Linked DNA regions of Drosophila melanogaster. The protein of the gene in region 2 interacts with the protein of the main gene of each other region in a pairwise test. Each region holds a gene or a part of one and is shown on either strand. Other genes may lie near its edges.

Region 1 (4,008 bases), on a different chromosome or scaffold from region 2:
CAACAATAACAGCCTCCCACTCTCGCGCTCTCTCACTCGCTCGCTCTCTTTGCTGCAAATCGAATTTTTTGTTGTTTATTTAGGTGACGCTCGCACACATTGGCAAACATTTCAATCCGTGTGTGCTGCACACTTGTTTTTCCTTCTTTAGCCCCGATTCCACGGCAATTTGTGCACTTCGCTGCCGTTCGTTTGTTTTATCCCAATCTTAATCTTTATTTTTATCCCAGACTGGCGGCTGGCTGGCTTTCTCCGCACCGCACAAGCACACACACTCGATACAATCGCACACACCTTGATGCGCTCCTTTGGCGAGCCACTCATTTGATTTAAAGGCCTTTTCCGATTGGCACGCGCGTCCGCCACCCGCACACACGCGAAAAACACGACCGTTTCGCTCGAAGTCTCGAAATCGAAAAAGTGGAAAAGCCTACAAAAAGTCTGTGGCATTTCGGTTGGCAGAGAGCGCATTGTGCGCTAAGAGAGCGACTAAGAGAGGTCCGCATGCGGTGTTTGCGGATATTTTCACATTCCGGCTACGGCCACACTGCTGCAGCAGGGGTTGATGAACAAATAACCGGCGGTTGTTGCACACGCTAAGTTGATCGAAATGCAAAACTTAATAGGCTATTCACACTGATTTCATTTGAATTTATGTTTGATTTCGTTACTATTATATCAACAAGATATTCTGTAACAATAGAAATAATAGTATAGTCTATATAGTATAGTATATATATATAGTATAATAGTCTTTCATCTAATTTATTTTTTAGCCAGTTGTTTAGTTTTAGTTTTTTTTTTAAAAATGTAGCTACCATACAAGTTCGCCTCAAGACAATGTTTTTAATTTAAGACTAAAGACCGTATAGATTGATCTTTTGCACAGACGATTGTTCATACACATTACACTTATGACGCTAGAAAAAGAACGTTTGAGAAATTATAATATCTTCGGTTCGCTATGCTGCTGCTTTGTACGTCGAGTGAATTAGACATCTGTGTCTGAGAAAGGAACGAATTGAAAAACATACACAGGGTCGAGCGCCGCGACTCTATTCCCAACTTAAAGCTAAAGCTGTCATACAATGTCCTTACCACGTGGTGCTAGTAGTCGGGATCATGGTTCCAGCTTGATGGTCGTTTGCTTTATTAACGCCAGCACTGCCTCCTGCCGCTCCATATACGCCAGAAAGTTATGTTTCATGTCCAGGAACTGCTTCTCCTTGCGCACGAGCGACTGCAGACAGGCGTCGTTCTGCTGCTCGAGCAAACTGTTCTCCTTGCGCAGCGCCTCCACTATTGCCATTGTGATCTTGCCCGAGTGCGGCAGTATACTACGTCGCCCTCGTCTCCTTTTGCTCGCCGAACGTTCGGCGTCCGTCTGGCCACCGTTGGTGTGGCCTCCATATGGCGCATCCTCTGCCTCGGGCAGGATGTGGTTGGCAGGCGTGAGAGGCGACCGCTGAATGACACTTTCGGCAGTAGCTCTCTCCAGGTAGTGGCTAGCCGCGTTTTCCAGCTGCGTCACTGTGGGCTTGTATTCAATATTCACCAGCTGGTGGTGTTCGTCTGGCAGAGGCTCTGTCTTCACTACTGCGGGAACTAGGGGCTGGGCATCGAGGAAGGTGCATCCCTCTGAGTCGCGCTCAAATTTTAGCTGGGCGGGCGAAGTGTATAGCAGTGGCGGCAGGGCGGGCAAATCCACACGTGCTGTCGCACGGATCGTCTCCAGCACATTGCGGAAATGGAAGAGGGCGGACGACGGCCAGGCAGGACAGAAGAGGCAATCGATCAGCGCGTAGAGACGCCAATCCTTCGCGAAGTTCGCATTGCCCCCCACGCGATTGCGATCGTTCCTGCAGAGAAGTGGAAGGAGATATTAGCACTGTGAACTGACCCGAGCCGCTGCTGCGCCTCACAAATACTTGTTGCGGTAGCTGTTGATGCGCCGGCGAGCCTCCTGCTTATTGAGCCGAACTCCGTTCTGCTGCAGGCCGTGCGCGATTTCCCGGAAAATGGGCAGGTTGTCCGTGTAGGAGGGTATGGCATGCAGGTGCTCGCGCCACAGCCGCAGTAGCATGGCCTCCTCCAGCGACGTGTAGTAGCGCAATCGCAGGTGCTTCTGGCCGCTCATATTCCGGTCTAATTTCAATTTTGTGGAATCGTTATAATCCAAACATTTTCGTACGTGACCAAGGACCAGGCGTGGAAATACCAATAACGCTTGAGCGCGGCAGGCGCCAAAAAATACCATCAATGATTTAAATTTTCTTATAGAGCTATTGAAATCTGGAAAAGATATATCTAATATCTTAATAATTTTATTTCTTAATATTGGACTAGCCCCAAAGCCATTCTCCCAGCTGTAGTATATACATGATACTGATATGGTACTAAATGAAATTTATTATATTACTTATTTCAGGAAATTCGCTCAGGAATCTAGGCATTTTCGGCGTTCTCGCGCCGCAAGGTCACACTCTTCTGTGTATCAGAGCTGTTGTTGATTTTTTGTGCGGAAAAACTGCACTTGGCTTCAACCATTCTACCACAGCGTCGCATTGTGTAACTAGAGTGGAGATCGCATATCCAAAGGCAACGTTACAGGGATACATCTGCGGGAGCAGATCAGGAGCCGGTGCAGAGCAGTCGATGGACTACGAGAAGCTGGCGTTGAACGCGGGCGGAAGCGGCAGCGGTGCCGAGCAGGACTTAGGCATGTGCGGTGGTCAGGAGCTGCTCGATGGCAGGGGCAAGGAGAAGGCGCGTCGCTACTGGACGCCCAGCGAGGAGGAGCGCCTGTACGAGATCTGGGGACGCGACAACTGGCGCCTGACGCGCACCGGCAAGAACACCATCTTCTTTGGCCGGTGGGCCGAGGAACTGCGCGACCGGTTCGCCGTGGACGTGAAGCCCGAGGAGATCCAGATGAAGGTCAACCAGACCAGGGCCAAGTTCAGGTAGGTAACCGTTTAGACACTTTGCTATACCGGATTAACTGACTGGTTTCCCTTTTAAGGCAAGTCAAAAAACAGCTGCAGGCGGATCCTTCGAGCTATGCTACGCGCTGGAAGAAGTACGACATTATCAATCGCATCCTGAAGAACCTGCACAGGCCCAAGAACGCCGATCCGCTGCCGCCAGAGGCGCTGCTCAACAACCGCGACATGACACCGCCCCGGGATGATGCGTCCGCAGAGCAGTTGCAGCAGCAGCCACAGCAGCAATCCGTTCAGCAGCAGCAGCAGCAAGGCTTGGGACTGGCCAGTGAGCCAAGCACTGCCACCTATTACAATAGCAGCAGCAATAGCAATCACGGCAGCAGCCACAACAACAACACCAGCGGCGGAGTTAGCTTCAACACGGAGCTGTTTACGGACCAGTATGACGAGGTGGTCAAGCAGGAGTACGAGGACGATGAGTACCGCTCCATTCCCTTTCAGGAGCAGTTGCAACAGTATTCCCCAGCCGAGCCGGCTCAGCTGCTCGAGCTGCAGACGCCACAGCAGCAGCAACAACTGCAGCAGCAGCAGCAACAACAGCAGCAGTTCCAAACAAACTATGAGTCGCAATTTCAGCAGCAGCCGGCTCAATTCAATAACAACAGCGTTATTAGCACTGCGGCCACATCGACCGTCAACCATCAGCCCATAACGGCGGTAGCCTATATCAATAGCAGCAATAACACCATCAGCGTGGCCACAAACGCAAACGGAGGCATGCCAGCGCCGGTGCCCGCACAGGTATCGGCATCGGTTCCGGCTGCAGCTCCAGTTTCGACCACCAACAACGCCGTCGTTGGCGCCTCCCCCGTCCCTGTGCCACGGAAGCGCGGTCGTCCATTCGGATCTGTGAATCCCCCACACGCAGACTCGCTGGAGGCGCTCTACATGGAGGAAGTTCGGCGAAAGAACCAGCTGCTCTACGAACAAACCAAGATATGTCGGCAGCGACTGGAGCTGGAGGAACGCAAGGTCGACCTCATGCAGACCTTCTTCCCCAAGT
Region 2 (5,206 bases):
CCTCAAGAGTATATATCCTCTGCTATAATTATGAGAAATTCGTAAGCCCTGAAGCGTGTGAAAATTCGCAAATGCATCGCGCTTTCCCCGATTACCACCATTGATTATCGCCTTAGCTTTCTAATTACGAAACTTTCCAAAGGGGATTAAGTCCAACTCCTGTGCCACTTACAGCCCACTGTGCGAAAGTGCTGAAATTAAACAGAAACAGAAGCAGCACTCACATTCGCAGATAAACATAAGCCGGCTCGACAATGGCCCCATTGTTTATGGCTTTCACATAAATTTTTATGCAAAATTTCAGCCAGAGTAATTAATTTTAATATGAAAGCCAAACATGCGCGCTCTAACAATTGTCATATAATTTGCCGTCTAGACAGTGGAAATTTAGTATTTTCAATTAACTGCAATGGCAACTGAGCGCTGCAACCTGCCACCCCCTTAACCCATTCCAACCCTTAACACCCCAAAGCACAACAATGCACACAAAAAGGCGCACACTGATTATTTCCACGACGAGGGCAGGAAGTGGAAAAAGCGAGCTGCAGCTCCTCTGACTGCTGACTGCCATGTTGACATTGTTGGCTCAAAAAAAAAAAAAAATAGAAAATATACGGAAAATAAAAACAACTAAATTCCGGAGCAGGCAAAGTATGATTTCACTGCAATCCGACGGTTTAGTTCACTCGTAATGCTAATGAATTTAAGATATCAGTACATAATTATTAAAGATAAGTTTTTTAATATTTAGCTATACTAAAAAACTCAAATCTTAAATTCACGAGTGGCAAACAAAAGTTTTAGATATCCTGGATGCAAATATATTCCCTAGTTGAACGTGCACCCATTGTGCAGGGGAAATCAATCCACTGAATGGCTGAATTCGATGGGAAAACAGCGAAAATGAGCCGGGATACCCCTGCTCGGACGCCCCTGCTTGCAGCCTTGAATCCGGAATATCAGGCGTGCAGCAGCAGGCAGAGCGACGTCCTCAAGGTTGGCAACAAAATTGCACTGCCAGTCACTCGAAGGGGTGTTCACAATGGTGAAGGGGGTGGTGGGTCACGAATTGCAGAAAAAATGAAAGGGGTAATGGGAGGGGGGGGGGGTCGGGTTGCAGCCTCGTTCGTGTGCCAATGTCAGTGCACCTGGCGCTGCACTTGGCACTCGGCATTCACTTCGAGTCGCAACTCAACTCGCCTCAACTCATCTCATTTCAACTCGACTGGCTGCTCCCTTTCCCAGCCAACAGTGCGTATTGCGGTGGCCGGGAAGCCTTACAAAGGGGGCATCCCCACCCATAGGCTTCAGCTTCGATTTCACTTTTTTCCTTTTTATTTTTTTGGTTTGGTCCCCAGCTCTCGCACTCGTTTTTTAATTGAAATTTCATTTGCCCCGTTTGTTTGCACATAATTACGATTCGGGGGACTTTTGTCGCTTGTTATGCAAATTTAAGGCCAGCTCATCCCGCGCTGAATGAGTGTGAATAGACGGAGATGCATGAATGCCCAACTCGAGCTGCATTCTCATATTTTTCATATTTATTCTTTTCGGCTTCGCTGCGGTTTCATTGTGGTGGGAATGGCCCAAAAAGGAATGGTTTTAGACGGGCTGAATGGAAGAAGACAGCCTCCAGTCAGCTGAAGCTTCATTCAGCTTCCAGTTTCTCGATGGTTAAAAAATGAGCACGAAACTAAAATCCTTTCAAATAGTGAACTCGTCTGGGAAGGCTGCAAGAAGCTGCAGACAAGTTTTCCAAATGCATCCATAAACTGTGCTACTTGCAATGTTTTAAGTATCAAAAATGTCTCAGATTATAGCAAATTTCAATGAAGCGAAGCGAAATTTGTAGTTCTTTGGTTGGTAAAGGCTTTCGGTATCTTTCTGATGTTAAAATTTGAATATTTACATATTACTATTTTAGCACTAGCACCTTAATTGGCGCGCACTATTTCAAACTAATAACCTATTTAGGCAATCAACTGAATAATAGTTATCAATCTGATATGAAGCCGTGGATTAGTACGAACCCCAGTCGTACTTCCCCACAACGCTCCGGAAATCCGGCAGTTAAACCCATTGACTGCTGATTGAGTAATCAACGAATCGAGACCCCGTAATTCCGCAATTTACTTACATTGTGAGCCGTAATCAGTAGGTGGATCGGCTGTGTCCTGTTCGCGGCTCTCAAGACATGCAAACACTCGCGCACACTCACAGCCAAGTTAAGCGGTTCGGAAGTCGCTATATATAATCAAATGCTGCCGCACTTCATTTGCCGGGGATTGGCCAACTGCTCCGTGCCCGCAAAGACATAATCCCAATGCCACCCACTTGTTGGGGACTCGACCACTGGATAAGTTCTACACGGAAGAAAACTAATCGAATTGTATTGGCCAATAGGTACTCAATGCATCTTGAGTTGCATTAATCTATCAGATCTCATTCAATGTAAGAAATCAAATTTTTGTTCTTGATTAAGTCTTTTTAAGTAAGCAGTAAGTTTATTAGAATATTTTATAAATAATATAAAGTTACTGTAATATTTTTTGTATTATATATTTATATTGAGCTAGCGCAAAAAACACGGACTTAGACCATTAAAAGGAAACGTAACATCAAACAACAAACAAGATTAAGAAAATGCTGTTACTTGCTGTTACTGAACAAGCACTAATATTTTGTCATTATCTTTAATGATTTTTATGGATGTGAAAACATACCGAAAGGGGTGTTTTATTTAGCTTTCTCTCAGTGTAGAGCCTGCCGATCACACACGCACAATTGCCGTTCGTTTGATTTACGACATCGGATTTGAAATTCCCCGCCGTTGCCTGCGTTTTTTCTTCTAACCAATTTTTTTTTGGCCAGAACAATGGCTGGCGAAAACGCGCGCAAAAACTGTCACCGGAAGTAGGTTCGCCAACCGGAAACGCGGAATGGTGCAAAATGGCGGGCAAATTACGCGACAAGCGGCAGTTTGCTGCCCGGCTGATTGCAAGGCGTACTCAGTGAGACGGCCAAAACGAATAGGCGAACTGCAACCGTGCACCGTGCAACCGGGAGCGGAGTAAAAAAACGCAACCAAAGTATGCAAAGCACGCGAGCGTACTGTGGCACCATCAGCAGAAACACGGCCTCCTGGGCCTGGGTTCTTGCCACTGCCTCAGTTGCCTCTGTTGGCTATGTTGCCTCTGCCGGTGCCGTTGCCGGAGAATCGAGAATCGGGCAGAGCAGAGCAGTGCAGTGCAGAGCAGAGCAACTGAACTGAACTCCTCGAGGAAGGCCGCGCCGTGAACATTAACGCTAGCGTTAACGCTAACGATAGGTTGACGGATGGGGGTAATCGGGGGTCTGGCTGGTTGCAAGTGCCCCGTTGTAAGCGATACCCAGGAGGGAGGGTTTTTTTTTTTTTTTCAACCCAGCTTTTTATTTAACTCTTCTTTTTGCGGGCCATGCCGTGCATTCTCTTTTTATTCTCGCTGCAGCCACCCCGAAGCGGAGCTGAGGCTTCAGCCTAAGAGCGGAAAGTAGGTGAGGCACATGAGCTCGACGGCTGGCAGGATGAGGCAGCGGATGAGGGGCAGGATGAGGGGCCCGGAGAGTGTTTACCCCGGCTTAGACGGCTCTGACAGGCCGTCTGGGCTCCAAAGCATGAATGAGTTGTGGAAGCAAATGAAGTGCCACGCCAGCCGACGTTGCAACCCGCAGCGTATTTAAATATAGCAGAGAACAAGCAGCAGCACCAGCAACAGCAGTGGCAGTGGCAGCGGCGGCAGTGCAACGCGTGCAGCAGCAACGGAAAAGGCAGCAGCTGCGCAGCCAGCAGAGACCAACGCTGCGATGCACTGGGAGAAAAGAGTGTGCTCTATGCACAATATTATTGCGTTCCTTACAGCAATACTTTAAAGCTTTATATATGGAATGGAGTGGCAAAGCTTAAGAGAATAGTTGAGTGAAAAACTGTAAAGAACCTTGTCCATTGAATACACTTTTTAGTAAAATATATATATATATATATACTTCATTATAGGTATATATGTTTCAGTGTACCAGGACAGGCGGCAGACGCTCACAGGCTATCATGTCACCGCTGGCGTCCTCATTTGTCTGTTTGCCTTGTGTGCTTGTGCAATTTTTTTATATTTTATTTTTAATTTCTTTTTTTTTAATTTTTGAGCCAGACTGGCAGTCAGTCAGTTTAGTTGCTAGCGCGCCTGGGCATATTTTGTGCTTCATCATCTCGGCCGCTGATGATGACACATGCGAATGACTGCAAACAAATCCAGGGAGCGGCAGTTGCTGCTGCTGCTGCTGATGTAGCTGTTGCCACTGCAGACTGATATTGCTGCTGTCATCAGCAACATTTCGCTGTGGCAGCTTCGCTGAAACTTTCTCATGGAGCGGGCGACTGTTTGCTGATGCAGCCAAATGCGAAAAGCGGGTGTGCGCCACACCTGCCGACCTTGGTGGGTGGGTCTAGACCCGGGTACCAGAACTCCCACGGTGGTTTAATCAACGAATTACGCCGGATTGGAGTGTTAATAATGCAAATCTATAGATGGCAACGCGGACTAATCAGATTGGATGCAGAATATTGCAGGCTTTTTGGAGGGATGTCATTAAAAAATAGAAAACACGGGTAAATTCGTGTTTATTTGATAAGATATCTTGGAAAGGGAATTAGGAATGTTAGCACATTTCCAAATTTCCTGCACTTTAAATGCATATTAAGGCATTTAAAAAATTGACGATGCAGATTATAAAAATTAAAATAATAAAAGGCTTTATGTGGGCTTAAAAAAAAGGTAATCAAAGGAAAATTAAAGAACAATGCCCCAAGAAGTTGTGATGGTCATGGATCTGGGGTCTGGCTGAGATTCCGCATAGACGGAATGCAGGGCGGAAGGCATGTCCCGCTTATGGGCTGTCCGGGGCACGTACTTGCGGTGGCTGCCACATAATGAGAGCTGGCTGCGGCACAAACGTGCCATAAACTGTGGCACGCCCCCTTGGCCCCAGCAGACCGCTTCCACCGATGAATATTCCATGTGGCATGCGTTGACAAAGCATTCGGGCCTCGTCATCTGGAGCATGGGGGCATATCATATAGGCAAAGTTTTTCCTTTTCCCAGCACACACATTGTGTGCTCCGCACATGGGACATACACACATACTCCTCGCACATCAGGATGGACCGACGAGG

Evidence for each region.
Region 1: the proteins of CG34377 (region 2) and CG14005 interact in a two-hybrid assay, tested with the Drosophila melanogaster proteins (one large-scale study listed by BioGRID).

What each region holds. Positions count from the first base shown.
Region 1 is NT_033779.5:5,799,750-5,803,757, forward strand, and holds CG14005 (uncharacterized protein), read right to left. Parts: upstream 2,227-4,008; 5' UTR 2,138-2,226; coding exon 1,923-2,137; intron 1,860-1,922; coding exon 1,121-1,859; 3' UTR 768-1,120; downstream 1-767. Other genes in the region: CG7239 (uncharacterized protein), read left to right, coding at 2,656-2,963, 3,023-4,008.
Region 2 is NT_033777.3:22,321,002-22,326,207, forward strand, and holds the start of CG34377 (uncharacterized protein), read right to left. Parts: upstream 3,094-5,206; 5' UTR 2,724-3,093; intron 2,379-2,723; exon of another isoform or gene 2,364-2,378; 5' UTR 2,138-2,363; intron 1-2,137.